Linked DNA regions of Xenopus tropicalis. The protein of the gene in region 2 interacts with the protein of the main gene of each other region in a pairwise test. Links are inferred from orthologs where the notes say so. Each region holds a gene or a part of one and is shown on either strand. Other genes may lie near its edges.

Region 1 (17,446 bases), on a different chromosome or scaffold from region 2:
TGTTTTTCTAGCCTGCAACAATAGCTAACCTCCTTATGTACCAGAAGATTTGGAATGTGTCAGGGTGATTACCTGAATAATGAACTGCTTTTAGGTGAAGCTTGAAAAACAAGATATTACTTTTATATATCACTAATACAAAACCTTCTGAATGGTCACAAGAATAAAGTAAAGCTGGCCATAAATGTAAAGATTCCACTCATTAGGCAAAGTCTCGAAACAAGTGGATCTTTTACCCATATGCCCACCTTGAGGTCGGCAATATTGGGCTGAGTTATTTATCTGTCAGGGCGAAGGCTGCATTAAATGAGCTGATGATTCCTCGCCATGGCAATTTGTAAACCTGCCTGATTTTTGGCCAAATATTGGTCAGGAAGACACATACACAGTCTGTCAGCAGCTTTTATCAGCCTGTATATAGCCACCTCAACACTGAGCATAAAGGTGGCCATACACAAAGCAATTATGATCTTTCCTGCGTCCATCATTTGTTTCCCCCGCTGACGTTCAGGGCTGAATCGTCAGATATGGAGGTAGAAACAATAGAAATTCAACCTCCACCTGCCAATTCAGCCCTAAATGTAGATTTTGCTCAGGTGCCTTCAGCAATGCCCAACCAAAATCTTTTAACCTGACTTGATGAACGGAAAGTCTGATGCGGTTGCGGTTGACTGTCAAACGCTCGCTAACCTCCAGCAGTAAAACCTTAAAATTTCTTCCATGATCCTTATAATTTTTGTAGAGTGAGTGTTATGAGACCAACATTGAAGAGTTGTGCAAGTCATTACATGAAGTATAAGTGTAATTACATCCCTTGTGTTACGGCTGCAGATTTCATTAATAGTTGTTACACATAGATGAATGTTTTTGTGTGTGTGTTTAGGTGCTTTGAGTGACCCTAAATGCATTAAGTTGATTCTATTTTTTATGCCTGGTTTACTCCATGATGATCAGATACGTGTTTTAGCACAGTCATATTCTACAGCAGTCATTCAAAAGCAAGATTCTACATTGTGTGCATTTTCTGAATATAAGAAAATAGGTATTTAATTTGTTCAGCACTGAACTGAATTGATGTGCTTTCAAATGCTTGCATGTTAAAGGGGTGGTTTACCTTTAAGTTAACTTTTAGTATGTTATAGAATGGCCAGTACTAAACAACTTTTCAATTGGTATTCATCAACAGATGAACAACCAATTTAACCTTTTGGTTGGGACCCAAAAAAGTTGAATTGTTTAAAGGTGAAGGAAAGGTAAAAACTAAGTAAGCTTTATCAGAAAGGCCTATGTAAATACAGCCATAAGCACTCACAGAAAATCTGCACTGAGTCCTCTATCAAACAAACACAGAATTTCTTCCTCTCTCTCTCTCTTCTCTTGCTCAAACCCCCTCCCATAAGAATTCACTTCCCCGTCCCATCAGAATGTGTGATCTGAGCTACCAAGGGCTAGAGCTGCAGCAGCAAGCTACTGTGGCTACAATTTCAGCTGCAGTCTTAAACAAATGGAAGGAGCTTCTAGGGCTCTTTACACAGGTATGGTAAAGCTTTCTGCAGAATACATTTAGCTTTCTAGGTGGCACTATGGGGCTAATATATTGGCAGAAAAATTACTTTCCTTCCCCTTTAAGATTGTTCATCGTGTTGCCTCTTAATACACCGGCATTTCTTTCTGCAGCAATATAGTAAATGTATAGCTAATCCAAAAATTGGGGTTAAAAGTAAATGCCTAGACATCTGTCCTCCTATGTAAAAAGGTAGAACAAAAGGAGCAAGTGTAAATACCTTTAAAAACTGGTTAGTACTTATTTTAGAAGAAGTTATAAATTGTCATAAGTTTGTTTTATTAGATAAAGTACAAAAACATAATGTGTTTTTTCTTGATACAGTGGATTATAAATCATTCCACTAGAACCTTTTTAATTTTTTAGACTTGTACCTATGAAGCATAAATTTTACTCTAAGGGGCTGATTTATGTTCAGCAATCCTAAATCTGCTCCTTAGGGTAAAAAACAATTGGCTGTGTTTCATATACAGCTGCATTCCACATATGCTACTGTTTCTATTCCATCTCGTAGTTTATTTACACTAAATACAGTACATGTGGAACCCCTTCTCTGGCCTTGCATACATGTCTATCAGAAAACCCTGCACTACACTGATAAGGGCAAAAGCAGTCTGTTATTGGGATCTCATGAGCTACTACTTTGGATGAGCTTTTATGCCCCGTCAGTGAGTTTTAGCCCCTAGGATATTTCAAGAAAATTGAAGTTCCCTTATTTTTCCCCTAAGTAGTTTGAGTTGGCGACAATCTAATGACTGCAGGTTGATTCTTCCACTGCTGAAGATGAACAAACAAAGAGTGCAAAAGAAAAGTAGATGTTTATATTCCAGTTAAACATAAAAGAAAACATTTGGTGGATGCATTAGTAAATGCCCTTTTGAGTCATTTTCCTAGCTAGTCAATCAGTGACATACTTTAGGCACTACAGACATTACTAGTTTACAAGGCCACCTTAGGAACCGGTTATCAGTATTGGCAAAATCTTATACTACTGGTTTGTGTACTGATCTAAAAACAACAATATGAAAGGTGCATTTTTGTGAGGGGAGGGGGGAATAGGGGAGGTAGCAGCTCTTTCATCTGTTTAAGCAAAATATCACAGGGACAAATGATCATATTAACTATACTGAGGAGCTGCTCTCTTACAAAGCCATGCTGTCATTAATACATGGTACTAAATTCTGGAAGACTACATTTTTTCCACATAATGAAAGCGAATGATGACAGTCTCGACAGTTCCAATAAAAGAAAATCAAAAGTATTGGACTATGTCACATATTGTTTGTAAACAACAATAAAGATGTTCCTGTTTCCAAAGCAAACCACTGAACCATATTGAGAGATGTGTGAAACTTTGCTTAGGCAAGCTTATCATAAAACACACCTCCAAGTACAATTGCAGCTTTCCTAAGTAAGCCATTGTTAGGACATACCTGGTTTAGCTTGTTTGGAAGACCTACCAAAAATATTTAAAAAAATAAATACATTTTTCCCAAAACAATTCAATTGGCTATCTGTAACTGTTTTTATTGTTTAGCTCCTGTTAAACTTTATACATTTTAGGGTAGCTAAATTATTGTGCAAATTTCAGTACAAGGGTAATATAATCATATCCAGCCTAGCTGAGATTAAGCATAAGGATTTACTGTATGGCACTTCATTCAGTTAAAAAAAGCTTAATAAAACTAAGTATACTGAGCTCCCTGGCACATTGAGAAAACATGTTATAAAATCAGGGACGCACAAATCCAGAATTAAGTTTGGGATTCGGCGAAAATTTTGTCTTTTTCAGCAGGATTCAGATGCATCCAAATCCAAGTGTCTGCCTGTACCGAATCCTTATAATCAAGTGACTTTTGGTTACGTCAACACAGAAGTAAAAAAAAATAAGCGCATACTTCTACTTAGCCCTTCAATTTCCTTATTTGCATATGAAAATTAGGATTTGGTTCAGTATTCGGCCGAATCTTTCACAAAGGATTCGGGGTTCGGCTGAACCCAAATATAATGGACTTGGTACATCCCTAGTTATAATAATGAGTGTCCAGTAAATAACAATATGGCATAATATAATGTTTCAGAAAGTAAGTAAAGCCATCCCTATATACAGTTTTGAATTGTCCAAAAATGTAGAGGGGGGTTGGTAATAGCAGATGATACCAGAAAAGTGTTGTACTGTAATACAAATTGGCAACTCCAGTCTTTACTGGAATGGGTCAGTGTTATTGTTGGCATCATACAACACTAAAGATCATTGTAAGATATTGCTCGTAAGATACTTGTATCCAGCCATCTTGGTCCGTGTCATACCTCCTGAAAACATCAGTCAGTCTCTATAGAGAAATAAAAATTAGAATTAATATCATTACTGCAGATGTCTCACAAAACAAGTCGTTATGGAACTCTTATTACAAAAAGTATGGCTTTATTCACTCATAATTTACATGTACCAATCAGTTCTTAAAGGAGAAGGAAAGGTAAAAACTAAGTAAGCTTTATCAAAAAGGTCTGTATCTCTCCTGGTCCCACCTCCCATAAGAATGCTAAGAATTACGCCCCCCTTAGGAATGTGTGATCTTGAGCCATACAGCTGAGAGCTTCCTCATAGTCTTGCAAATTGCACATGTGCAGGGGTCTTGGTCTTGGGTGCAGGAACATGGCATTATGGGAATTTTGTTTACAGCGCTCACCATTTTTTTTCCTACGAGGCTTTTGATCATCTAAAAAGGGGAAATATGGGGAGACTTAGAGGCACTATTGAGAGAACTAAAGGTATGTCTGTAGTTTGAGATTAACACTATATTAGCATTTCCTTCTCCTTTAAAAGAACATTACAGAAAAGCTGCACACCTACTGTGTACAGGAGATTCACCTGATGTTACACATCACATGATCTTTCACATCACATGAACTGCCCAAGACAAGAAGCACCTGTCCCAGAGTGCAGGCTGTCTAAGCTGGCACCACCGTGGAGGAGGGGGGGAGGAATCATGTTTAGATAGGTGTCCTTTAATACTAAAATAAATATTGCTGAAACACATGGAAGCAGTCCTGCCAAGTGCCAAAGCAATCATTACAAAAATTAGAATGTGTGTTGTAGCATTAAATTCTGAATTTAGATATTGAAGTCTTTCAATTTAGCTAAAATTGAACATTAATTTAATAGTAATATAGTACAGACCACTGCAGAAATGTACTTAGATACATAGTAGATTGTAAGCTCTCTTGTAGATTGTAAGCTCTTTTGGGCAGGGCCCTCTCCACCTCTTGTATCGGTTATTAATTGCTCTATATGTTACTCTGTATGTCCAATGTATGTAACCCACTTATTGTACAGCGCTGTGGAATATGTTGGCGCTTTATAAATAAATGTTAATGTAATGTAATATGAATTCTGTTCTTTCTTGCCTGACTTAAAAATGAAGACATAGCAGTTTTCTTTGCATTTCACTGCACAGGCCCTTGATTTCCTTGAGCAGCCACACTGGGACCTTACTTTGCCTAAACCATTGAGGATTGAAACTGTGGCTCTTATTTCAAGAAAAATCAAAACAGCTTAACAGGAAATACTTGGCTTTAACTACTCTCAATCAGCTCAGTCCTGCGACAGGATGGGCAGGACAGAATTACTACGTAACCCACAATGCAGTGGATGCAATTCTAAGCAAATGAACAGCTGGAAACTTCAATGCTCAGTTAGTACCTTATGTGTTTACTCGAGCCTTTCAGGCGCAAAGGATAACATGATATAAAACAACTTTGATATTTGTACCTGCAGGACAATGCAGCACTGAATGAAGTCATCAAAGGCAACTTGCCCTCTCCTTTGCCTATCGAATTTTCTTATGAGTACATCATAAAATTGATCTGAGAGACGATAACCTAAACAAATGAAACAGCTAATTATGGTGTTATATGCAATTTCAGTTGTAAGTGCTCGGGGGGACACACCAAGTCAGAAAGGAAGATGAAATTACTTTTTAAGGACCCACGTTTGTGTTTAAGAGCCATTACGAAGTTATACACTAAGCCAGTAGTAATCAGGATCATGCACAGAGGAAATCTGCCACCTATACTGGTTAAAAGTACAGCACACTGGCAAGTAAAAATTTTTATGTTGTAACAGTAATTGTGTGGAATTATATTTTCTTTTAACCCACTAAGCCTGGTTAATTCAGAAAGGTAATCTCACAGTACATACAAATTGAACTTTAAAAGTAGAGAGAGAGTAAAAAAATTACCAAAACCTGACAGAGCTTGCTTTAGTTCATTTTTATCGATCAACCCAGAATTGTCTCGGTCATATGTTCGGAATATGTTCTGCCAGTCTGTTATGTACTTCCAGACGCCAGAAAATTCATTAAAGTTCACGCCGCCCTTGTGGTCCCTGTCAAACATGGCTGAAATAACGACAAACACAAATTAAAAATAAAACTGCAGTGGATTTACAATCAGATAATTATCTGCATCATATAATTATCTGTCATGATATTAACTATTAATCCTTTCACTGCCAACAACATTGGCGTACGTTGTTGCAGTAAAAGGCTTTATCTGCCAACAACGTGTGCCGTACGTTGTTTGGCAGATAAAGGTACTCTCTGCAGAAGCGGCACATTTTTTTTGCGATGACAACCCCCTGGGCAACGAGCCAGGGGGGCTGTCACACCGGCCCTGCAACGCGATCGTCGCAGGGCCGACCTCCAAGCAGCAGACGCGATCGCATCGCCTCTGCTGCTTAGTCTTCACTTCTTCCTGTTCGCCCCCCCAAGCACTGACCCGGATGAAGACTGCAGCAGGAGGACTGTGATCCCTGCTTCAGGACAGGTAAGGTGGGTTTTTTTGCACTAACACACACTCACACACACTTACAGCAGAAAATTTTGCAGTTTTTTTGTTTGTTTTTTTTTCATTTTACACACTTATATACACTAATGTACACACTTACACACTGTCACACAACTTTTACACATGTACAAACACTTTTTTTTTTTTTTTTTAGTTTCTTTTCCCTAAAAACTGTATATTTTCATTTTGGGGTCAGTACATACAGCAGACTTTGGTATATCTATACATATTGGGCATCAAACTTTTCAGTAGACCTTAGGTGTTCCTAATTGGGGTGACTTGCCTTAGTACGCAAGAAATTGTGTGCGATACATGCAGCAAATTGCAACATTTTTAGGCGATTTTCTGAAATGTCATAAAAACCAATAACTTTAGGAAAGCTTTGCAGATTGGTACTTTGGTGTAGAAAGGATTCTTTACCCATGTTGGATTTGTCAGAATGTGTACTTTCAAAAACTATATGGTTTTCTGGGTTTTTCTGTATAGTTATGTGTTACGGCACATAATATGCTGTCAGGGGGCTCTGTATGCAAAAGCTGAGTTGGCCGGCAAGAAATCCTTATGCGCTATTTTCATTTTGGGGTCAGTACATACCACAGACTTTGGTATATCTATACATATTGGGCATCAAACTGTTCAGTAGACCTTAGGTTCCTATTTGGGGTGATTTTCCTCTGTATGCAAGAAATTGTGTGAGATAAATGCAAATTGCAACATTTTTAGGCAATTTCTGAAATGTCAAAAAAATCGGCAAACAGGAAAGCTTTACGGCTTGGTACTTTGGAGTTAAAAGAAATGTGTACCCATTAGAGATTCAGGGGAATGTGTAATTTCCAAAAATATATGGCTTTCTGGGGTGAGTGTACTTTTTTGTACCAATATCCCATATGAAGGATGTAAATGTGTTGATTTTGCAGGAGCTGAAATGACAGATCATATGGGGGTATGTTCCCATTGGGGCCCCTACATGCCACATACTTTGATGAACCTATACATATTGTGCATCACAATCCACTGTTCAGTGGACCCCTGGCGTTCATATTTAGGGTGTTTTATTTGGTTACTTTATGACCTGTAGGAGATAAGATACTATAGACTGGAAGCTTTGAAGTGATTTTTTTTAAATTTCACAAATTTTGATAAAAACCAATAAATTTAGGAAAGCATTGCCACTTGATAGTTTGCAGTAGACAGACAATTGTGCCTATTCTGGATTCCCCAGAATAGGTTCTTTCCAGAAATGTGTAATTTTCTGGGATAAACCTTCTGTTAGTGGATTTTTTGGCCTTGAAATCTAAAGTATGCAGCTTTCTGAAGCAGTGCTTTGGAAATAGTGTACTGCAGGGAGTTTTTGACCTATACAAGTGAGAAATCTTCATAAAACTATATATATTTGGTATTGGCACGTTCAGGAGACATGGGACTTTCCAAATCAGTTGTATTTTTGTGCATAAAATAATTTTTGTTTCTGGTATGTGTGTTTATATTATGGAAAATGTGATTTTTTTAAAAAATTTTTAGACATTTAGAAGCCTATATCTTGTTACAGATTTGGAATTACACCAAAATTTTACCATATTTTAAAAGCTTAGGTTGTCCTGAAAAAAACAATACATTGTTTTCCTGGGCAACAGTGCAAAATGTTCAAAAACGGTCTGGCAGTAGAACTTCCACTTTGGTCTAAAATGGCTGGCAGTGAAAGGGTTAAACAATCAGTGCACTAGATAAATTACTTTTTGTTATTCAGAATGTGAATTCAGGAACAGGTGGTTCAGTACTTGGGTAAGGAATTTGATCCTGCACTGCTGTGTTGGTGTCCTGAGACAATACCCATTACCCAGTTTGGACACCAGTGCTACAAGGTGACAATTATACAGAAGGCGAGTAACAAGGTTCTTAAAAAACAAACAAACACAAACTATCCTATGGAGAACACTGGGTCTAGTTGCCAGGAAACATGTTGTTGTGCCTCCAAGGCTTTACTGCAAATAGGCAACAGTTCCAATAAACAGAACTTACATATGATAGAATTCACGGTTGCCGGATTAAAAGGTGTCCATGTTCCTGAAATAAAACAAAGTGTCATTAATAGTTTGACTTTATAATGGACAAGTGCCAAGTTATGTTCAAGAAAGCTAATAATCAATATTACTCTGTAAGATGCAACAAGAAGTAAATTCATTTAGTAGTTTTTTTGCAGTACATGTTTGGGATCCTGTATTAGAAGTCCATTTTAAGCAAATACAATTTTTTTAAATGTTTTCCTTTATCTCTGTAATAAAACAGTACCCTTATTAAGTATTAATCCTTATTTGAGGCAAAACCTATTGGGTTTAGTTAATGTTTAAATGATTTTTTAGCAGACGTAAGGTATGGTGATCCAAATTATGAAAATAACCCCAGAAAAGCCTAGGTTCTAAGCATTCCAGATAAAAGATCCTATACCTAATAAACCTGATAAACAGTAATATGTTTTGGGTTCCGTTGCAACTTGCACAAACCACAAGAGTTTCTGACACCCCACCTAAACCAGTTTTACCATAAATATAAATGCAATATTAGCATTCACTTATGTCAAATGACAATGATTATGCAACCACTTTGATTCACTTCTTATGCAAGGAAAAAGAGCGGAGAAAACATGTTGGTGCTATATACATTTTCTTTTCAATAATTTTTATTTGTGTTTTTATTTTTATACAGCGGATTTTAAAATATCAGTCAAGTATCGGTTAGCATTTATCCGAAAATAGAAGGAAAGGAGATAGAAAAGAGCCACAGGAGAAAAGTGCAACAACAAACTAAAGGATTAAATTTGACAGATACCAGAATATTAATCAGTAAAGTTTGAATATGATAGATTAATGCCTATGAGGTCTCAGGTTCATAATTATACATACATTAGTTGTCCCACAGTAGGGGGGAGGGGAGGGAAAGTAAGTAGCACAAGGCCTCATAATGTTCTTTTCTATAATGGAATGTCATGGCCCCTTATTTTGAAATAAAATTAAGATAATATCGACAGATTCCCAGCATTTGGAAAGGATTAAATATACCAAGGTTCCCAGACTTTAATAAACTTCTCATAGTTATCTGTAAGTATGTAACTTAGTTTTTCATTGCCCACACTTGCCTTACTGATTTGGGGATTTACTTTGTGTAGGCAAGATGGGACCATATACCACATCATTAGAACTTTATAGGAGGTTTCTAATAGAGAAACATTTCAGGAGCATGAAGATGTTGAAGTCTAAATTTGGAACCAAGTTTCAGCTGTGATGGTGGTATTTAGGTCCTTATTCCATGCTGAGATATATGGTAACATTGTACATGGATAAACTTCCAAAAGGAGGCGAGAAAGATTGGAAATTTGGCCTTTGGAATAAGGGTATTTTATACAAGCATGTTCAAAATAAGTTGGGGATGCTGCAGACTTATCTCTATTGTATTTATTAACAAAATGAGATAACTGTTGATAGTGAAAGGCTTCAACTATGGGAGGGTTACTAATTTCTAGAATTTGTGGCCAAGTTTTAGGGCCCGATCATAAGTAAAGGTGATAAATAAACCTGAAGCCCTTACTTGTCCACAATTGAAAAGTCTGGTAAGAAAGACCTGGGGCAAAAAGGGGGGTTACCAAGGATTGGGACTGTTGGAAAGGTTGATGAGACCAGTTTAGCCGAAGATTTATAGTTGTCCCAAACTGACAATACATAAATTAAAAAGGGATCTAGCTTCTTGTGGCGAAGAAAAGCTACAATCCAAAGTAATGCACAGGGATCAATCAGATACAGTATAATTGGGATTTCAATATGTTTACCCACTTGGTGGTATGGTAGCTTGCTTATGTATTAGTGGGGCTAACTGTGCGGCAATATAATAATTTCGTAAGTTTGGAACTCCTAGGCCCCCTTAATGTTTAGCCCTATACATAATATGTTGAGCAATTTGAGTATGTTTCTCTGCCCAGCTAAACTGGAATACCTTTCTCTGTATGACTGTTAGGTCTGAGTCTGGGATATGAACAGGCAACGTTCTAAAAAGAAATAACATCTTGGGTACAAGGGTCACTTTAAAGGCAAGAATCCGGCCGAACCAGGATAACTCCATCTTTGTGTCCAAGATTGTAGCTCTCTCATCATTTTCCATAGTTGAGGATAATTATTTCTAATCAGGCTTCAACTTCTACCCTGTATAAACATGTTGGGGCACATTTATCAAAGTACGATTGATTGCGTATTTTCTGTGATTTTTTCGTTAATTTGCGCAACTTTTTCGTACTCTGCAATAAATTTTATGCGACAAAATTGTATTTGTCACAACGAGTATGAAAGTTTCTGATTCATTAAAGCTTCGTTATCGTGACTTTCCTTGGGCCAAGCTGAAGCTGCAGAGTGCCACGGTGTTCTATGGGAGGCTTCAAAAACATGCACAGAAGGATCAAAGTCAGGTTTTCCCACCTTTTAAGATTGTTCTGATACGGAAATTTTATGACTTTCAGAACGCCATTACTATATTATCCTGACTATTGCGATTGTTTGGGAAGCATTTTTGTGACATTTCCAATCATCAAAAATTATTGTATTTAATTCGAATTTTAACCATTTCAGGATTCGAACTCGTACTTTAATGAATGTGCCCCATTGACTCCTAAATAGTGAATAGTATGGTCCTGCCATTTGAAATCAAATTTCAAAACCATTTGTTAACTCTTGTTAACTCATTAACTCTTCTGATTTAATATGATTAATGGTTAATCCAGAAACTTTTCTGAAGTGGTCTAGCAAATGAATTAGGGTCTGGTTATAGTCATGAGAATGTTGCCTGCAGTTCTATAGACATTTTATGTAGTTTCGGATTATGTGACCCTTGGATCCTAGGATATGAATTTGGTATTTACTTTTACAGTAATATTGTTTGTCCTTTCATATTAAATACCTCCCAGATGCCCTTCAAGGGAAAGCAAAGGCACATACAAGATTGATTCCATTAGCTGTACATTGGTATATCTACAGTAGAACTACTCACTATAACACATTGGTATGTGCTGGACCAGGGACCTCTAACCTTTTTTTACCCGTGAGCCACGCTCAAATGTAAAAAGAGTTGGGGAGCAACACAAGCATGTAAAATGTTCATGAGTGATTGGGGGGTGGCTGTGATTGGCTATTTTGTAGCCCTTATGTGGACTGGCTCTGTTTGGCACTACAATTGGGTTTTATGCAACCAAAATTTGCCTCCAATCCAGGAATTTAAAAATATGCACCTGCTTTGAGGCCACTGGGAGCAACATGTTGCTCACAAATGATTTATTTGGGGATCACTGTACAGGAAATTAGCTACATGGTTTTTTTTTTTACATGTTTCAACATAAAAACAACATGTATATTTGCCATGTACTTTTTAACTCAAGTGTCTACATTTAAATTACTATAAAACATTCACATTCATATTTGTAAAATTAAGTATTTACAGTATATGCCACTGATTTTCTGCACCCTTAATAAGCAGAGGCAAGTGAGCTGTTTAAACAATCTCCTGCTTGTCCATGAGCTTGCAGGCAGCAGTGCCCCACACACAACCAACCATTGTCTGGCTGCCTGGGTGTGTTTGTGTTGCTTTGGTTTCTAACAGTGACTATTTGTGGATGGAGAACTGGAAGCCAGTGGAAATACAGAATAACTTTCAATAAAAAAGTTTTTAAAAAAAAAATACACCTTGTGAAGTTGAAACAACAAGTACTCTGGAATTTAGCAGATATATACTTAAAAACATATATACTTTAAAAAATTTCTAAAAACTTTCTAAAAATTAGATTATTGATATTGGTTATTTTAAAAAGTAATTTCAATATAAGGCTAGTTTTGGAGGATATATCTTAAACTCTTTTCAGTTTATTCTACTATTTACTATTACCAGCACAATAAACAATAATTATTGAATGGCTTTTTAAAATTGCTGAGCGGGAAAAAATAAATAAATACGTGCATCTGAAACCCCTCCTGGTTTTTATACGCACCAATAGGACTGTGCACTTTAGCAAACACAGCACACAGTCCCTACTGGGAACAGTAAAATCAGAATTGACAAGAGAAAAGAGCAACGTTTAGTCTGATAAGCATTCACACAGCCCCAGGATGCAGCACAGATCCTAAGAATTGGAAGAAGATTGCAGCACAGTAGTCACTGAGATAGTACCCCTGGCTAGTACATTTTTCTGCAAGGTGGAGTGCCAGCCTAGGACCTAAGGTCTGTGACACACAGGGAGATTAGTCGCCATGCGACAAATCTTCTTTATTGTGGGCAACTAATCTCCCCGAAATGCCATCCCACCCGCTAGAATGTAAATTGCCAGCAACTCAAGGCATCTTCGGCAAATTGCGCCGCCGTGTATGCCATCGCACCAGTGATTTACGCGCGGCGACTAATCTCCCCATGTGTCACAGCCCTAAGGGAAGAGATTATAATTTCTGTGAGTAGAAAAAATACACACAAACTTAAATCCCTATATGCATTCAAATTGTTGGGTATTATTATTTAATAAACCTTACAGATAAAAATGGCAATAACACCAATAAGTAAATATGCTCTATACTATTTTACACGTGTGGTTCCTTTAGGCCAGTGCTGTCCAACTTCTACGGTGCCGAGGGCCGGAATTTCTCTAGCATACATGGTGGAGGGCCGCTAATTGAAGCCAGTTTTGACCACTCCCCTTTTTGAAACCACACCCACTTCAAACCACACCTATTTTATCACAATGGTGGTAGCACAGCAAAATCCCAAATGCTTGGTCCTTACTGTGGGGATATCAACTGTCATTCATATGTGAAAGAATTATGTCATATTAAGATATACCCTTAAATTCCATATGCCTCCTCCTCCCCTGTGGATAGCAGAGCAACCCCCAGTACATAATTACACACCTTAGGGACCATTTAATGGCTATTTCCAACTGCTAACAAACTCCCACAACAAACCCCTGCCAGGTTCACCTCCCACAAGCAGCATAGGGCAAGCAGAGTATGGCACACACAGGCAGCACTCTGCCTGTCCTATGCTGTCTGTGTGTGCCATGCTCTGCCTTCCCTATGCTGCCTCTGTGTGCCATACTCTGCCTGCCCTACCCTGCCTGTGTGTGCCATACTCTGCCTGCCCTACCCTGACTGTGTGTGCCATACTCTGCCTGCCCTACCCTGCCTGTGTGTGCCATACTCTGCCTGCCCTACCCTGCCTGTGTGTGCCATACCCTCCCTGACCTATGCTGCCCGTGTGTGCCATACTCTACCTGCCCTATGCTGGCTGTATGTGCCATACTCTGCCTACAGTACCTGTGGTGTGAAGAAGTGAACAATGGGAGTGATTACAGCCTGAGCCTGAGGTGTGAACACTGCAGGGGGTGGACAATACAGAGATTAAAAGGTGTGAAAAACACAGGGGATTACATTTTTAAACAATACAGAGGGATTACAGCCTGAATCTGAGGTGAGAACCATGCAGGGGGCCAGTTAATCACAGTACTGATACCATTTAATGCTTGCTCAAAGGTAAGCCATCAAAGCAGCCAGACAGGTGGGGGGCCACACAGAGGGGGGTCGCGGGCCGCATGCGGCCCGCGGGCCGCAAGTTGGACAGCACTGCTTTAGGCCATTGCTACAGAGGGCTTATACTCACCCTGCAGATAAACGCAGGCCAGGTATCTGTCCATACACTCACCCGGAGTCAACAACAATAGGTTTTTTGTTTTTTTTGAGGGCAGGGGCATATTTTCACCCTGCGTTTACCCACAGGCCAAGAATAGGCCCCATCTGGAATTGGCCTTAGTCTGCACTTTAAAGCAACTGGCATAATTGTAATTTCTGACAAACACTGTTTTATCACTTTGTAGTACAGGTATAGGACCCATTATCCAGAATCCTCGGGACCAAGGGTATTCCAGATAAGGGGTCTTTCCGTAATTTGGATCTCCATACCTTAAGTCTACTAAAAAATCAATAAAACATCAATTAAACCCAATAGGATTGTTTTGCATCCAATAAGGATTAATTATACCTTAGTTGGTATCAAATACAATGCACAGTTTTATTATTGCAGAGAAAAAGGTAATACAGGTATAGGACCCGTTTTCCAGAATGCTCGGGACCAAGGGTATTCCGTATAAGGGATCTTTCTGTAATTTGGATCTCCATACCTTAAGTCTACTAAAGAATCAATAAAACATTAATTAAAACCTATGGGATTGTTGTGCACCCAATAAGGATTATTTATATCTTAGTTGGGATCAATTACAAGGTACTGTTTTATTACTACAGAGAAAAAGGAAATCAGTTTTAAAATTCTGAATTATTTTATTAAAATGGAGTCTATGGAAGATGGGCATTCTGTAATTCGGAGCTTTCTGGATAACGGGTTTCCAGATAAGGGATCCCATACCTGTACATTTTAAAAATCTGAATTATTTTATTAAAATGGAGTCTATGGGAGACGGGCTTTCTGTAATTCAGAGCTTTCTGGATAACGAGTTTCCGGTAATGGATCCCAAACCTGTACTTTCCTGCCTTATCAGGAATATCTGTAATCTGATTTTAGATTGAATGGGAAGGGCTCTGTTTAATGGAAGATTTACAAATGCATGCAGGCATATATGCAAACATGTTGCACGAAGAACAAACATAATATTGTTTACTGTAGAAATATGGCTGGTATGTTAGTTAATACTTCAATATTTTCTTTAAAGAATGTGAATCAGCATAATAAATATGTATTTAAACATCTATATTATGTAAATGTAGAGGAGTCAGGGCCTTGTCTTAGTAAAGTTCTGGTTATAAATACACAAAATTTAATTTAAATGTGATTTTTCCATAAAATGTAAATTGGCAAAACTCTGCAGTTCAGTATTACCTCATGGGTCCTTAACAGATGTGTGATTCTGTATACTGAACCAGTACTGTATGATTTATATGAGCTGTCAGAGTGGTGCAGTTTAAGGTGGGGAATCTAGCATAGTAACACAGGCCTGCTTTTGTCCTTTTTCAAACAAACTGCATGAGGTAGAGGAAAAGTTTATTCCATGTCACAGGCAAGTACAGTGCTGTACTGTAGAAGGCTGCAGCTTGTTTCCTAAACCAACAAGACTGACAATCAAATGCTGAAAGGCACAATAACGTACATGGTTTGAAACTCAAAATAAATGTGTAGGATTTGGGAATCCCAACTGCTTGGCCTAGGTGTAGTGTACAAACCTAAATGGCATCCCAGGAGTGGAGTTTGTGCTCTTTAATCAGCCATAAGAGGTCAAGAGCCAGAAAGGACTTATTTACACTTAAAAGGGGCTTTAAATGTAATCAACACAATTATATATTTAGCACATTTACAGTAATGTGCCAAGCAATAACAGACAGCTAACATAAAAGCAGGGCTGCCTTTGTGACTGAAGGAAAAGCATTTACAGTAATGATAAATTCTCTCCTTCACACCTCCCTACAGGCAGAATTAAAATGACAGTAGCATGGCAAATACAGTAGCACACAGTACAAATATACAGAAAACATACATACAATTAATATACTAAAACCAGCATCACAGTAGCAAACTACTACAGAAATACACAGTTAAACATGTTTACTAGTATCAAACAAAATGCATAACGGTTATCTGCACCAATACAAACTATATTATTATAGTAAAATTCCAGCAAGCTAGCATATGATTATGATATATAGATATGTAGATAAAAAAAACCTCCATATTAGTATTCTGTTTAGCAGCCAAATAGCACAATAATAATGAGCTCTATAGACCTGTACACCATCTTATGAATAAGTTAGCATCAATGTTAAAATATACTGAGGTTATACTGAACATGCAGCATTAATTCGCTGCTAAAACTGCTAGTGTAATGCCAAAATAACAGTAACAGTAGCTACAAACTACAGCGGCATACATACTACATACCTCCCAGCATTTGAAAAATGCAGAGGGACAAAAAGTAATGCAGTGCGTAGCAAAATTTTTTGGGCATGACCATTTGTGTGATCACCCCCCCAAATACCACTCACATTTTACAATATATAGCAGGTTAAATTTGAAGTCTGGGGGTTTGGGGGGTTGTTTTATGTGTTTTTAAAGTTTTGCTAATGAACGTGAAATTGCCCTTTAAAGGAGCAGGTCAGTGTAAAAATGAAACTAGGTAAAACAGATAGGCTGTGCCAAATAAAAAATGTTTTCAATATAGTAAGTTAGCCTAAAATGTAATATATAAGGGCTGGAGTGGGCAGATGTCTAACATAATGGCCAGAACTCTACTTCCTCCTTAGTTTGCATTTGAATCTGACCTGCATGCTCACAAACTAACTGAACAAGTTATGTCCCATGTGGCCCCTCCTAAAGTCACTGACTAATTAAGAGGTTAGAGAGCTAAAAGCAGGAGGTAGAGATCTGGCTATTAAGTTAGACATCCGCCCACTCCAGCCTTTATAGATTACATTTTTGCCTAACTAACTATATTGGAAATATTTTTTATTTTGTGCATCCATTTTCCCCAGTGTCATTTTTACACAGAACTGTCCCTTATTAGTTACAATTGTATCTAAGTGCAGGTGTTGACAATTGAGTATTCTGTCAAAAGCCTACTAATCTAATTAAATTTGGAAAACTTTGTATCTTTTTTGGCATTCAGTGCAGGAGATCAAAGGGAAAACGAGGGACTTTTAAATAAGAATCCAGGACTGCAAGCTGAGCTGTCAAAATCGGCACTGTCCTGCAAAAATCGGGACAGCTGGGAGGTATGACACAAAAATATACAGGATAGTGCAAGGCTCACTGAATTTGGACTGGTTTCATCTGCCCCCCTGCCCCAAATACATAAGTCAACCCCTTCTCTGACCCAAGAAATTTGAAGGTCCTACCGTGGTTTCCAGTTTTACTCAGTGAGTACTCCTCAACAGGTAGCAGCCCTCGTGCTGGCTGTGTAGCTTACAAATATAGTTCAAAGAACCCGGAGAGTACCATTATATGCAGTGAAACAGTGTA
Region 2 (16,670 bases):
ATAAAATAGGTGTGGTTTGAAGTGGGTGTGGTTTCAAAAAGGGGAGTGGTCAAACTGGCTTCCATTAGCGGCCCTCCACCATGTATGCTAGAGAAATTCCGGCCCTCGGCACCGTAGAAGTTGGACAGCACTGAGTTAGACAATGAAGAAGCTTCCTGCAGATTGGCTCAGATCCATGGGGGGAGGGAGGGGGCAACAGGAGAGGGAAGAGAGGAGAGAGCTGCGTGTCTCTGGCACAGGAAAACAGACACAATAAATCTTCTGAGACAGAACTCAGTGCAGTGTTTCTGTGAGTGCTTATGGCTGTATTTAGATTTTTATCTTTCCTTCTCCTTTAATGCATATTCTATGGGCTCAATTGTGTATTTCCTCTAGGGAACACCTACCAAAAGTGTAATTACAAAACACAGTAAATGTACATTTATGAGATCCCTTAGGGCAATGGTACCACAGAGACCTTAGCCGCACACCCTAGCTCTCCAAACCTGTATGCCCGGTGCACACTGCTGGAGGGATCGGCACCCTCCAAAAATGGTGCAACAACAAAAAAAGCAAATGGCACTCAGGGCTTCAAACAAGGGAAAAAAACCCTTAAAGTATTTTTATTGCGGAGGTGCACCTCCGCAATAAAAATACTTTAAGGGTTTTTTTCCCTTGTTTGAAGCCCTGAGTGCCATTTGCTTTTTTTGTTGTTATCCCTTAGGGCAATGACAGACAGGACGATTTCATGTCCACACTTAAATCTTGGCTACTGCAGGCTACAGAAAGTCTCTTAGTTCCTTCCTAAAATGCAAATCGCCAGTGCGGCAAGACTACTCTCCGAAGTTTCCTCTTTGGGCTACTATGCAAAGCCAAACCTATTCAGCATGGCATTGTCACTGAACATCAAGAGAAGACATGGGCATCTGTGGGATCTGTTGCTGTAAGATAAGCTTTGTGTGAAGGGTCTAGAAAAATAGAAGCAAAAAGCACACTGCACTGCAGGCACACAATAGGCATACTGCAGGTATTCTGTGAGAAAAATGATCATATGTAAACTGAAACAACAGTCCCACTACATTTAGAAGAGTATCTTTTTAGTAATGGGCATTAGAGCAAACCATTTCCAACACCCCTTGTGCAGTTGCAGACTACAAAGTATTCTTCAAATATTAATGAACATTAAATGTTACCTAACAATGTTGATTGTTTTTCCTTTGATAGACCCCTGCTTTTGTAAGTGTTACTTGAAGTTCCTAAACCTGACTTTATTGCCAGCGTGACTGTGCCTTTTTAACCTGTAACCAGTTATAGCTTCTAATGCTAACAGACTCCTGCTGCACAAATACTGCAGCCCCCTCATAGAGGAACATGGGGGATCAGATAGGTCAGTGTTTTTCAACCTTTTTTGGGCAAAGGCACACTTGTTTCATGAAAAAAATCACGAGGCACACCACCATTAGAAAATGTTAAAAAATGTAACTCTGTGCCTATATTGACTATATATAAAGTAATTCTCTTGAATAGGAATCAAATAAATACAAAGAAAGTATTTTATAATTACTTTAATATGAAATATTAAGTAAACAAAATAGTGAAATTTTCTCCACAAACCCACCCCCCCACTGATTTTTTTTTTTTTTTTTATACACACAAAAATTTTATATTATATATATATTATTATTAATTGTTTTCTTACATGTCAGGCTGTCTTGGGGTGCGGCATCCAGGGGTGTCCCGGGATTGTCCTCCGGTGGGGAGTAGGGCGGCTGTGCATGGGCCTGGCCCCTGGTGGATCTGGTCTGTCGGGGCAGGGCCTGGGCAGTTGCTCCCCCCGGTCGGGTTGTGCCAGGGCAGGATAGTGCTGCCTCTCCTCTCTGGTTGCTCCGCCCTCCTGGATCCAATGCCGGATGACGTCACAGGCAGTGACGATTTCAGGGCATCAGGGAGCCAGGAAGTGGAAGGTGTCCCAGAGGGGACCGCACCTACGGCACACCAGGCAACATCTCACGGCACACTAGTGTGCCGCGGAACAGTGGTTGAAAAACGCTGAGATAGGTAAATGTAAAGCATTGGGCAACTTACTTTTAAGGCAAAATTCTAAATAGCATACATAGTTAAGTTGGGTTGAAAAAAAAGTTTTTTGGTGCTTAAAAAAGTCAAATTCGAGTTTTGGTTCGAAAACTCGAATGTCTGGTATTTATTAAGTGTAAAAAAACCCGAAAACATGGATGTAAAAATTTACCATCTAAAAGTGATAAAAGAGATATTAGAGTTTTTTATTCAAAGAAGTTTTGTTTGAATAACCGACCATTTTGCAAATAACCGACCATTCGATTTGCGAGTTTATTCAATTTAGAAAGACAAACTCGAATTCACAAACTAACACAATCAAAAATTGATAAATAAGCCCATAATTGTAGATTTCAGTATCACAATAGCCTTGGATACTATGCTTGTTCAAGAAATCATCCAGGTCCCTCTTAAAGGCTGTGGTAGAATGGCCCAACAAATGAGAGAAAAGGTGAGTTTTCCCTTCAAGTTCTCCATAGTGGGAGATGTGATCTTTAAGGGAGAGGATGATAAACGGAGAAGGTTTGCTCTGTTTAAAAGGTTGTGCTGTCTGGCCCTGAAAGCTATAGGGTTCTGGAAGGAACAAACGGATCAGGCGATCCATTCCAGTAGTCCAGCTCACCTATTGGAGCTTACTTTCCACAGGAAGGCTGTCCTGTGGAAAAGGTATTTAATGGTATAGAAAGGTGCGAGACAGTCTCTCAGAGCAGGTCACAGAGCAGGAAGGATACCTCTCTGTGTTAGGACTCCCAGAGGGGCTGGGGGTGCTGCCTGCCACTGCCAGAGGCAGAGGGAGCCCAGAATTGAGAAAGCTGCCAAGAGACTGAGGATCTAAGAAGCTGAAAGGAAAACCAGGAGGCTGAGCTAATCCCCCAGAAGTGTTGTGAGTACAGGGGTGACCCCAACATTTGTGTTTTCCCACTGGTAGTCCACAAGGGGCCCAGGTTAGTAAGGGAACTAATATAATGTGTGAAGGTACCGCCCAGAGGGCAGGATTTATTTTTATGATTTGTTTTGTACGCTGAAATGGGCACCCCTGTGTAAATAAACTGCCTTAAAGCCAAGAAAGTGTCTGTCCTGGATCCCGCTAGTTTACAAGGCATTAACAGAATCTGTTATTACAACTTTACTAGGAAGGGCATTCCACAACCTCACTGCTCTCACTGTGAAAAACCACTTATGCTGCTTCAAATGGAAGCTCCGTTCCTCTAATCTAAAGGGGTGGCCTCTGGTGCACTGATCCTTTTCATGGAAAACATCCCCTATCTGTCTATAATCCCCTCTTGAGAGGAAACTTTTGCGATTTTGTTGAAATTGCGGTGCCGCGTATGCCATCCCACCGGCAATTTACATTTTCGCCGGTGGGATGGCAATTCGGGGAGATTAGTCACCCGCGAAAAGGGAGATTTGTCTCGGGCGACTAATCTCCCCATGTGCCAGAGCCCTTAAACATACAATGTTGGTCTGAAAAGATCTCAGAAGGTTTCAGCTCTCAGAAGATCTCAGAAGGTTTCAGAAATACTGTGATGGAAAAACATGATTTTTTTTAAACATATTATTAGAGCTTCTCCAGCAGAATCCTGTATTGAAATCCATTGCAGATTTTTTTATATTTAATTTTGAAATTCCACATGGGACTTATTCTCTGATAAACTTCAGTCACACTTTACTGCTGCACTGCAAGTTGGGAGTCATATTACCCCCTCCCTTTCCCTCTAGCAGCCGATCAGCAGAACAATAGAAAGGTAGCAAGACAGCGGCTCCCTGACACCTGTATTGTGGTAAGTGGTAGATATCAGAATAGCACTCAACAGCAAAAAATCTGGGAGTAGGAGAAACAATACAGTAGGTTATCTGAAAGCAGTTTTAATGAGTAGCGCTGGCTCTTTCTGAAAGCTCAGACTCAGGAACCTGAGTGACCTGAGATGGCTGCCCACACACCAAATACATTTGTTCAAGAATAATTTTTTAAATGGCAGAGTGAATTATTTGCTATGTTAACAGTGTCATTTAGAAATAAAAAACACCATCAAAATCATGACAGAAAAAAAACATCAGTGAGAAAGGTAATAAAAATAATAAAGATAAATAGAATTAAAATTCAATCTGCCAGAGGAAACTGATTTTTTTAACAAGCCCAAATACAATTTGCATCTTAGGGTTTGATTAATCTGTCCTTTACAACAGGTATGGGATCCCTTATCCAGAAACCCGTTATCCAGAAAGCTCCGAATTATGGAAAGCCCGTCTCCCATAGACTCCATTTTATTCAAATAATTCAGAATTCTAAAACTGATTTCCTTTTTCTCTGTAGTAATAACACAGTAACTTTTAATTGATCCCAACTAAGATAGAAATACTCCTTATTGGAGGCAAAACAACCCCATTGGGTTTAATTAATGTTTTATTGATTTTTTAGTAGACTTAAGGTATGGGAATCCAAATTACGTAAAGACCCCTTATCTGGAATACCCTTGGTCCCGAGCATTCTGGATAACGGGTCCTATACCTGTACTACTATAAATACCATATTGGAACTTCATTTTTTACTTTATATAAAGAACTATTTAAAAATAAACATATTTTGTCCAGTGCTGTACAAAAAGTGAATTATATGCAACATATAGGGAGATATATAAATATATATCAATAAAGATGTGTAAAAAACTTTATGTATTGAAGTTTGTGTAAAACAAATGGTGTATTTATTAAGCACAGTTGTTAGACGTGAACAAACAGCATGCATCTGGATTACAGAAATAATCCATTACAAAAAGCTAATTGCCTTTATAAAATAACAATTGCTTTGCACTAGTCTGGACCTCATGTAACCCACTGAAGTCAATGAGACAAATTCAGCAACAGTTGGCATGAAAAGTGGTGTAAAATGACACCATGTTTGACATAATATGAGAATTGTACACTATGCTACTAGGGTTTCTGACTAGCAGTGCTTTACATACAGGCCTAGCCTGTAAAATCACCTGATAGGGCAGCGGTGACATTAAAAATTTACCAGCAATGTTATTGTCAGTAAATTTGTAATTCCTACTCTTTCCTGAAGTTTCCTGCAGTGGCACCCCACTTTTCTTAACAAGTTCACTTCATGCAACTAATCAGCCCATTCCTCACCCTGTAAATGTATTGGGTACCACATCACATCACCGCTTGCCAACTTCATAGTTGTACATGTATGTTCACATACATGAAAAATCTAGTGGAATTTACTGGCATAGTTTCTGAGCCCCTAGGCAAATAGAATTGCAACCACTTTATTTTACACTCTGGACTAGCTACAGCGATATTGCATAGGATTATACTGTAGCCCAGAATGGAGTTGTATGCCCATAAAAATCTAAATTCTGACTGACTGTCAATACACCCACTGATATTCCCCAGTTAAAACAAAAAAGAACAAGGATTGTAAAAGAGAGTTAACAAATATTTAGTCATTTCCCCCACAGAGTTTCAGCAGAATCTTCCTGTAGTCACCAGACGTGTCTCCCTGTGAGAAGGGGGGAAAAAAAAAGTCATAAAATATATATACACAAAACCAAGGATGGCACTCCACTTCAATTTCGGGTGCAAGGTAAATAGTTCAATATATATATATCTCTTCTGTTAAAAATATACCCACCCCCATTCATGAAAGTTACCCTTTTAAAATAACAGTTGCCCCAGTTGCTCTGGGTAATAAATTGCTTAAGCATCTATAGGAGACATATTTACAAGAATATATAGCTTCATAATTTAATTTAATATGTTTGTTGGTATGAAATTCCTTATCCAGACACCTGATATTCAGAAAGCTACAAATTATAGGAAGGCCATGTCCCATAGAGTCAATTTTATACAAATTATATTAATTTTTAAAAATGATTTCCTTTTTATGTGTAATAATAAAACAGTACCTTGCACTTGATCCTAACTAAGCTGCATACATCAATATTAGATAACATTTAAATGATTTTTGCAGACATAGGGGTACGGTGACCAGTGAAATAAATGGTGACTATTACATTTAAAGTTTGTATCTTGGACAACTACTTTTTCTTAACAACATGCACTTAAAGGCACTGTGTGCAGACACCGAGCAGATTTTGGCATAAAAAGTATGAGTAAGCATTTTTGAACCAATCTTTGCACATTTGAGTTAAAAAAGCTAGCTTTTTGCTTAAAGTTCAGCTTTTCACTCTACTGTGAATGAGCACCCGGTGCAGAGAAAAAAGAAGATTGCTCTTTGGTGCTTGCATAGAAGTACCCCAGCCTGGACAGTTTTGTTATTACAGTAGCACCAGCCTGGGGTATCAGGTAAGCACAAAGCGAAAAATAAAGGCACAAAAAGACCAACAGTTAACAAATCACTCACCAAGTCGAAGTGGTGGTCCAGGTACACCAGCCCCAGACCCCTCAGCATAGGGTGCATAAAATAGAAGTTTAACAGTTGAAAGGCTTTATTCAAAATTACATTAAAACATCTCCTAAGCCCTAAGCGCACTTAATCATGGGCCCATGATTAAGTGCCCCTAGGGCATGAAATGTGTAAGGTCTATGCAGATGCTTTAATGTAATTCTGAATAAAGTCTTTCTACTGCTAAACTTCTTGACCCCTGTGGAGATTCCCGAGTGCCTGCATGCCCATTGTGATTGCTGCAAGTTTTGCACCCCCAGTGATTACAACTTTACTTCTGCTTTAAGGTTTATACTGCCGTGAAAAAATAGCATCTTGGAATATGGATGTTTCAAAGTCACAAAAAATGCATACTTTACTTTACACACATTTTTGTGCAATATCCACTCTGTGTGTGTGCTCACAGGCTAACACAATGCCTGTCAATACACTTTTAAGGGGGAGACAATCAAAGAAAATGCAGGCACAAAAAAAAGCAAACAACAGCCCTGTGTGCCACTTGCCTTATAACAATATGAAGCCTAAAGTTTTTATAGACTCACATTGATGACTGCCATGATAATATAAATATAAACAATTTCCCTCTTGCTTTGATGTCTCTTGCTTCTATAAGGCTTAAGGAACTTGGCTGGCTATGTCCTGAAAATGTAGGAATCTCCATTTTCTGGGTGAATCAGAGTCACAAAGCCTTTTCCCTAAAAGTGCTAGGGCAAAGACACAGAGGACATTTTGTCTCCTGCGATAAATCTTGGCTTCCACAGGCGATGAAACATCCCATTTCCTTCCCACCAGCTAAAATGTAAATTGCTGGTGGGAAAATATATGCGTCTACTTTCCGAAGTAGCTCGGAGTTTCCCGCATTTGAAGATTAGTCGCCCATGGTAGTGGGTGACTAATCTCCTGAAGCATCATTGCCCTTACAGTGACAATAAAAACTCAGTCACTACTTCTCTACTTCTGCAGTGTGTTTATCCCTACTATCTTCTGCCTTACCGTGATATCTGTGTAAAGGGATCTTCCATACATTCTTTTATATTCTGAACGGATATCCAACAAGTCTACCTCACTACGGGACACCATGATGCGGATCAGAGTCTTGTCCTTTGTGCCAGCACCCTGAGAGAATAAAGCAGAGAAGATTTAAGAGTCATTAAACTTGGTAAACAATAAATTAGAAACCTTAAGGTGGCCACACACGGCGATTTTAGATCTTTCGTGCGACCATCGGTCCCACGAAAGATCGTACAACCCGCCACTAACCGTTCAGGGCTGAAACGGCAGATAAGGAGGTAGAAAAAGTAGGATTTCTACCTCCTTCTGGCGATTCAGCCCCAAAGACAGACCGTTGTCAGCAGCATCCTGCGGGGTTTCGTACGATATTATCAGTGCGTGTATGGCCAGCTTTAGAATATTAAAATGTCTTGTGTTGTTGGTCAAAGTCTTTAGAGCATATGTACTGCAAGTGCACAGAGCAAAGTGCAAATATTAAGAACAATCACCATGTTCTTTTCCCACAATGTGTTTTTTCCAGAATTCTGGTGTCACTGCAAGTGGAAATGCTCTTGATGCAACTGTGCTGTAACTACAGCAACTGCATTTGATTCACCCAAACTGAAAGTCATTTCCAGTGTTCTGCACCCAATTATTTCAGTGCAACTGAACTGCAGCAATTGGGGCTAAGGGTGCTACTGCCAGGTCGGAAGGTGGTGATGGAAGCTCCATACCTGCAATCAAATTGTTTTTATGTGAAACTGTGGGGAAAGTGCGGGGACTGAACTGCACTTGCAGACATACATGAGCCCTTTTATTTGTACAGTTAGAACTGATAAATAATCCTAACCCAGTCTAGAGACCTTTTGGCCTCCCCACTGCTAAATGTTCCAAATAACTTTTAGTATTTTATAGACAGCAATAACTTGTCTTGTGAGTTTGTTTGCATCACTCTGCTTATGATCTGCTGACCAATTAGAGTCAAGTAATATAACAATCTAACTGTATCGCTGTTGGGATTTGGCATAACCAAATCCTTGATTCCCGTTGACAGTGGGGGTATCAATTTAATACAGATGCATAGTTTCACAAACTTTTAATCCTTAAGGTAACGTATACCTTCATTGATTTGTAGAGACGCTCAGCGAAGAAGGCAGGAGTATTTTTTAGGCATTTTACTAAAAGAAACAGTAAAAGTAAAACATATAAGCACACCATGCTCAGACTTAGAAGAAAAAGTTTAGCTTGAGGCTGACCAAAACATATAGGTAAAATACAGAGGGTATGGAATTTTACTACAGCTTATTCAGTTCATACTGTACATACATACTCACATGTATCCCACAGGTAGAAAGGTAGTCTTGCTTATTCTGGAAAATGTTATTATGTTTGCAACAACACGAATGACCAGCTGTTTAACACTATGAGTGCCGCTTTTTTTTTTTTTTTTTTTCAGATCAGGGTTTAAAGGAGAAGGAAATGTTAAATTAATGGGGGTGGGATGCCAAATGTAAAGGCACAGGGAGATTTAAGCTGTCAATTTGGGTTCACCAAACAAGCAAATCTTATGGTGTATCGCCACCACAAAGTATGGTAATTACTAGGGGCAAGCAGCAATAGATTGGTTGTCTTTGCAGAATTAATGTTTTTCTGGCACAGGAACAAGCACTTTTGCCATATGTCAAACAAGTAAAGGTCCCCATACACGGGCCGATAGTAGCTGCCGATATCGGTCCCTTGGACCGATTCGGCAGCTAATAGGCCCGTGTATGGGCAGAACCGAGCGGCCTGGCCGACCGATATCTGGCCTGAAATTGGCCAGATCTCTATCGGCCAGGTTAGAAAATCCAGTCGGATCGGGGACCGCATCGGCTCGTTGATGCGGTCCTCGAACCGACTGCCCCATGGCCGCAAATGTAATTCGATCGTTTGGCCCCAGGGCAGGTTATTTTTTTTTTTAGCTACTTGCTACCCGATATCGCCCACCCGTAGGTGGGGATATCGGGTGAAGATCTGCTCACTTGGCGCCATCGCCAAGCGAGCGGATCTTATAGTGTATGGGGACCTTAAGAGTAAGTTCCACTGATGTGACTGATGTATTATCTCTGTAAAGAATTGCAGAATATGTTGTTTACACAACAAATAACAATAATGTTTGCCTATTAATAACTATAATGCAACAATGTAGCAAACATAATACTCCTTGCTGCAAAGCAAGTATGTGCATATGTGCCCCATAAATAACAAAACTTTATAAAAGAAAATGTAATATTTTCCATATTTAAAGTTTGGTGCATACTTAGCACAGTAACACATTTTATTATGACATCTGAGTTGTCATTCAGTGACATCACTGTTTGGAATACATGTTAAATTAAAAAAAATAAATCTTAAAATACTTTATACACAGATGCTAAAGAATAAATATCTCCAATTAGCAGGTTAGAATTTCTAAAGAAATAAACACTGCACTCTGATCACTACACACATGGTTATTAGGAAGTGAAGCATAGTATGGAGCTTGGAAAATACTCTCATTCAGTAACACAGATAAGATGAGTACATCCACAAAACATGCATGAAAAACACTGCAATGATGTCACACACTAGTTCATTATAAGATTATGAAATGGAGCTTGGGTGGAGTTAGCGATCTGGGGATTACCAGACATCTTCTGAGAGCTTTCAAAAAAACCAGGCCAAGAAAAAAACAATGAGCATTAGTGTTAAAAACAGTCAGTACTTATTTACAAAATGCAATTCAGCTTGACTTGGACACTTTGCATTGGTAAAAAGCTAAACCTGAATTGAACTGAAATAAAATGAGTGTGGCCATAAGACGCCAACAAATCATAAACAGGCTTGTGGAACATAAAATGTATTATTCATTTTATTCAAATATAGTGCAAGTTAGTTATTTTTCCCAAGTCAACATAGAGCTTAAACTGAATCATTACCTGCATGCAGAAGCCAGGTTTCTCAGTGTCTAGTCATTTATCCAGTGAAGCATTTTTCATCTTATATATCCACACATACAATTTTCCCCCAACATAGGTATACAAATAAACACCATTTTTATAAATGTAGTCTTTCATAACATATTAGGGTGCTGAAACATGGAGTGATTCATAACCTGGTGGAAAGTCTTCTCTCCCATAGGTGATGAAGCGCCTGACACCACCTGCCCCTTTGCATTAGTCGGAATTTCAGCATAAAACACATTACATGCGGCGACCCCAGGTAATCTCTTAAAAATCCCTTTTTTCAGGTGATTACAAGGCTCTTAATCGGTAGTCATTTATATAGTTTATTTACTTTACTGTAACTGCAGAGATACTGGCTAGTTGGCTGGTGCCTAGCTTCACTAAGATACTGTTTGTGTGCTAAAATAAGGAACCATAAAAAATGCATTAAAACAGGTTTAGTTTTCTTGAACTGTCCCGGAATCAAATACTTTGCAAAATATATTTGAGCCTAGATTAGCCAGTGAGGAGAAAACTACTGAGAGTAGCACAAAAAGGGCTTGTAAAAAATGAGGATGGTGTGAACTGAATGGGATAGTAAGTAACTTACCCACTGCCAACATGCCATTTTCAAGGTTCCCAGACATCTCACGACAGATGCTTTTCTCAATGTCTCGATTACACATTCGCTGGTATTCAGAAAATACTGGGGAGAGAAATGTGTAAAAATCACACATTTGAACATGTGCAAAACTACATTTTAAAGATTTGATCTCCTAGTTTATGTGTAATAATGAATCGGTGGCCCCTCCTACTATAAAGGTGGCCTTACACGAGATGATAAAAGCTGCCGATCTGTTTCTTCTGACCAATATCTGCCCAATATTAGCTAATTTTGACAGGGCTTCATTCGCTTAAGGTTCTAATCAAGTGAAGGTTTATCCCTTTGATGCATTAATTTAGCTGATTACACTTTCTCGTACCAAATAAATAGGTTATATTTCCTTGATTACTTTTGTGTACATGGTAGTTTTTTGTTTTATATTACACAATGGTCAAAATCTTTAGACAAGTAAATAAAAGTTCAACACTTTATTAATCAAATTAATTGCATACTACAGCTATATTTACAAAGTTAGTTACCTGCATTAAGGTGTGCTCTGCTTCGAGTACATAGGATGGCATTAAATTTGGACTCGTCTGTCCCCAGACGATTCTCTCCAGCAGCATACAGCTCCTGCACATAACAACATGTATAGCAGAAAAATGGCTGGCTTGTGATTACTCTTTTACCTACTTTACAGAAATCACGTTTTCTCAAATAAATTCAGAGAATGGTGTTACATTTTACAGGGCTGCATAATTAATATTTCTAACACTTTATCAACAAATCTAGCATTTCTCATACAGCAAAGTTAAAAAATTATATACATGCACTATACAGGTTAACATATCTATGCAGTGATTTTCAATCCGATGCAGTACCTCATCCATGTTTCATAATCCTGGCCCTAACATAACTACAAATGCTTTGTAACTCACCTGCACATCCCGTTGGACTAATGCCATGTCTACGTTGTTGCTTTCATCTCGATTTCCCTGCAAAGAAGACAGTCATAGATCAGTACATATAATACAAATTATAATTATATTTTGGGTTGTAATTATCAAAATCTGGAAAAAAAAAATGCAGTTTTCCCTGCATTTTGTCAATTTGACAAAAGCCCTTTTACTTTTGCTTGAATGCCAAAATGCAGTGCAGCTTGACTTGGACATTTTTTAAACAACCAAAGTTGAATTTAATCAAAATATAAAATATTTAAACATGCTGTCAGCGTATACAGTTTTCTTGTGTCAGTACAAACTGCTTCTCATAATAAAACATTGTAGAGGCATCAGTACCAACTGCTTGTCACTATATAATATACTTTGCCAATGCCTGGCCCAGAGTAGCAATCTGGATGTTCTGGCGAATACTCTGTTGCAAACTGCCATAGATCTGTGCTTTCTTTTGACCCTGAGGCGGATCTCTTCCCTGATATGCCCACCTAAGGTGGGTCAAACGATTCGATTACAACAACAAAAATACGAGCCACTGGGCAAGGATGGCTTTAACAAGTGAATGTGGTCTAGCCCGATTTCCGGCCAGATATCAGTCAGGTAGGCCTGTTGGAGGGCCCCATACATGTGCAGATAAGCTGCCGATTCAGTCTGAAGGGCCAGATTTGACACATGTGCCGAATATTGTTGCAAAAATGCATGTTTTTGGCATGTCATTATTTATTCCATAAACAAAACGCAGACCTAGAGAAGTTTACCGTACACCCTGTGTGATTCTAGCCTAAGAGGACATGCACACCAAAGCCTGAAGCAGTGGCAATGAAGCTGCAAAAATGTAAAAAAATGATGGTGCTTAAAAACTGAGGATGCTTATTACAACAGTATTGCTATACATCTGTAAGCTGGTTATGATGTAATAAGGACCCTGCCCAAATCCTGGAACACAAAAGGAGCTTTGGCCCAAGAATGCGGTACACAAAATTAATTGAAAGAAGACACAAATCCTACCTGAGCCAGTGAAACCAGCAGCCGTAGGAAGTGACCAGAAGTGTCACTTTTAATAGCTTGTTCCAAAGTTTTCTTATATTCTACATGAAAAGCACAGTTCTATGTTATACAACTAAAATACATAAAAGTCACAAATAACCTGTAAAATTATGCTTATAAACAATTTTTAGTGACGAAACAGTTCAGCGATGGAACTTTTGTCACGACTGTTTGTGTATTTAAAAAAATAATGTTCCCCTATTTTAAAATAAAAAGATACTAGAAGTCACATCAAAGTTCCATTATGTGCATAAAACATTGTGTAAATTCCTTGGTAATTGAAGATGTGATTATATCCACTTGACCAGAATCAGCCTGCCTCACCGGGACACCAAGGGAAATCCCGGTGGGCCCTGGCCCTGGTAGGCTTGGAGGCAGGGCATCTTGTCCTTGTAGGCGCCAGTGCCCAACTGAGGTGTGCAGTGGCAGGTTTGGTGGCAGATCAGTATGGTCCATCTCCTACAGGTGCCTGCTGGAGTGCACTGCTCTTAAGTATTGCTATACAAATCTTCGAATGCACACCCACAGAACTGGCATAGCAGTTCAAAATGGAGATTTCTATAGTAAGAGCAGCACACTTGGCTGCAATGAGAAGTTAAAGAAAGATGCAGATAAGCTTTTCAATAAGATCATATTGTTTTTTTGTATTGCTTTGTGTTTCATCTGCTTGCTTCCAGGCCAAGTCTGCTTTTAAGCCCCCTACTTGCTAAATAGTGGGTCCTATCAGCAATAATCTGACCTGATTTACATACTCACTTACATAGGGGAACACATAGCTCCAAGTATTCCAAGAGGCCAAAGGCAGCAATATAAAGAGTATGGTTTCATTAGATACACTGGCTGTTTAATGATCCCTTGGGCCATTAGAAACTCTGAATCACAGCTGCCAAATCAAAAACATGGTACTAGCTGTATTAAACTACGAATATTTAGAAAAAAGTTTAAATCAAACTGTGCTTAGAATAACACTGTCTGCAAGTACTGTCATACTTGATTTCAGTTCCCTTTTAACCAATTTGCTTCCCAATGACAATGCATGTAGACCAGGATCTTTAAAAAAGTGCATCACATTGGTATTACATAAATAGCTTACTATCAGCCACTGTTGTCACAGTACCATTTCTGATCTAGCTTTTGCAGACAAAAGTTTTACCCATGTGTTAACATTATACGCTTTGGAGCAATTTCCCCCCTTTTCCCACTTTGCACCATGCCATACCTGTTTTGTATGCATTACAGATTTCATGTACTGCAGCATTACTCCTAGAAGCCAGAATCTCAATGAGACATTCTTCATCTGTGCCAGCTCCCTGTGTAAACACAATTTCAAGATGTACTGCTAAAGGCAAATTATGCTGAAAAGTAGTGAAGCATGCTTCCTGAATATATAGACAAAACATACTAGCAATAGAAACAGAAAAGAGCAAACACTACCATCGCTTTTGGTTTTTATGCAACATATGTATGGCTCCTTTTGTATTTGGGAATAATTCAAGGACATGTAAGAGATGTTTTCTTGCATTTAAAATGCCAACATATAACCAGGGTCTGGTATTATGTAGTGTAGGGTATCAGCACAGAGTGAAAGCAATATACAAGGCAGCTATTCCCAGCTAGTTAAAGGAGAAAGAAAGGTAAAAACTAAGTAAGCTTTAGCAGAAAGGTCTATGTAACTATAGCCATAAGCACTCACAGAAATGCTGCACTGACTTCTCTGACAAAAAGATTTCTTGCGTCTGTAATTCCTGTGCCAGAGACATTCTGCTCTCTGCTCTCTCCTGCTCCCCGCTCCCTCAAGAATGCTAAGAACTCACTCCCCCCACCTTAGAAATGTGGATTTGAGCCAATCAGCAGGAACCTTCCTCATAGTCTTACTAACCGAGCATGTACACTTGGTCTGGGTGTCTATGCAGGAGTGAGGCATTATGGGAACTTTCTTTTCTGATCATCTGAACAGGTGAAATATGGGGAGACTTAAGGGGACTATTGAGACAACTGAAGGTATGCCTGCAGCTTGAGACTCTTTACTAGCCTTTCCTTCTCCTTTAAAGGAATATAGTCATGGGAAAACATGTCTTTTTCAAAACGCACCAGTTAATAGAGGTTCTCCAGCAGAATCCTGCACTGAAATCCATTTTTCAAAAAGACAGATTTTTTTTATATTCAATTTTGAAATTTCATATGGGGCTAGCCATATTGTTCCTTTCCCAGGGTGCCACAGCCATGTGATCTGTGCTGTGACAAAATTTAAACCTGGGTGCCAGAGTGCAAGTCCAAGGAAAGAACTCAATGTTTTTGACCTTTGTTTTCACCTTTGTCAGGAGCAATAAATGAGGTGGCACCTTAAAAAGCCATTTCCAATATGAAGGGTTGTCCACAAACTTTTGCCCATATAGTGTAGCAGCCTGTCTTTATCAGAACCCTTGAATGAACACTGTAGAAATCAAATACCAGCTTTGATGCCAATGTTTATGCACTGGCACTTGCAGCATTACATCAACTGTTCTGCTATAGGCAAGCTATGTTTCAGAGACAACTAATATAGCCTGTACAGGATACAGTAGTTAAGACTATGTTTAACACAGTCCTTAGTAAGGGGATGTGCAGGTCCCTGTACTCGGAAATGGAGAGCAGATGCCTGTGGCTATTTGCAAACCAAACGCAGTATGCAAAAAAACGGGCAAATGCATTTTCTGCACTTTGTACAGTGTTCAGCTTAGCAAATGAACCCTCCTTTGTTTTTTAAACACATTGCAGCGCTTAAAATAAAACAAATATTTTCAGCCTTATGCAAGGTGATTTATGAAGTATGTGAATTAAATATGTGGATAGTTGTTTCTATGATTAATGAGTGGTTCAGAATCAACCTCTTTTTTTTTTTTTTTAAAGATTATATTTTGCATATTTTTTCAGAACCAACCTTAATTGCCTCATGTATCTCATGCGCATCATAAAGAGTTGGAGTTTTCATCATTGCCAGGATTGTCTTCTCAAAATTCCCAGAAAGCTCAGACTTTAAATCTTTTATCAAATCCTATCAATTTAAAATAAAAAAATTAAAAAAAAAAACAGATAAAATGTTGAATTAGTGCATCAGAATGCAAATTGCCCAGTGGACATCGTCACCTGTACAAAATTCCTGAGACTGTCAATACTAAGGGGCACATTTATCAAAATACAATTGTTTCCAAATACAAAAAAATTGTATTTTTTCTAAGTTTTCGTACTGTGCTTATTTTCTGCGTTTTATTCTTGTTTTTTGTTTTTTCGTTAATTTGCACAACTTTTTCGCACTGGGAGACTTCCAAAAACATGCACAGAAGGAAGAAGTCAGAAAGGTTTTTTCCGCCGTTTACTATAGTTCGGATACGAAAATTTAGTGACTTTTGGATTGCAAATACAATATTATCATGACTATTACAATTTTTCGTATGAATTTTTGTGACATTTTGGATCATCAGAAATTATCGTATCTAATCCGAATTTTACTCATTTCGGGATTCGAACTTGTACTTCGATGAATCTGCCCTTAACCAACTTCGCCAAATCTGGCTACGAGTTGCATGTTTAGAATATAAGGCAAACAATATTGTTCATTTAACATTTTACACGCAGGAGATTTGCAGTAACATACACAATTTGCCATG

What was found.
Region 1: the proteins of anxa11 (region 2) and pdcd6 interact in binary tests that used the Homo sapiens proteins (3 or more experiments, as listed by UniProt). The link is inferred for Xenopus tropicalis from reciprocal best matches to the Homo sapiens genes ANXA11 and PDCD6.

Annotation. Positions count from the first base shown.
Region 1 is NC_030682.2:69,350,555-69,368,000, forward strand, and holds the end of pdcd6 (programmed cell death protein 6), read right to left. Parts: intron 8,477-17,446; coding exon 8,432-8,476; intron 5,965-8,431; coding exon 5,806-5,964; intron 5,447-5,805; coding exon 5,337-5,446; intron 3,898-5,336; coding exon 3,799-3,897; 3' UTR 3,066-3,798; downstream 1-3,065. UniProt on the Homo sapiens protein: Calcium sensor that plays a key role in processes such as endoplasmic reticulum (ER)-Golgi vesicular transport, endosomal biogenesis or membrane repair.
Region 2 is NC_030683.2:53,053,579-53,070,248, forward strand, and holds the end of anxa11 (annexin A11), read right to left. Parts: intron 16,058-16,670; coding exon 15,944-16,057; intron 14,334-15,943; coding exon 14,243-14,333; intron 13,065-14,242; coding exon 12,985-13,064; intron 12,016-12,984; coding exon 11,959-12,015; intron 11,654-11,958; coding exon 11,560-11,653; intron 11,123-11,559; coding exon 11,027-11,122; intron 10,136-11,026; coding exon of another isoform or gene 10,068-10,135; exon of another isoform or gene 9,482-10,067; intron 8,632-9,481; coding exon 8,573-8,631; intron 7,580-8,572; coding exon 7,457-7,579; intron 5,558-7,456; coding exon 5,498-5,557; 3' UTR 4,735-5,497; downstream 1-4,734. UniProt on the Homo sapiens protein: Binds specifically to calcyclin in a calcium-dependent manner. Required for midbody formation and completion of the terminal phase of cytokinesis.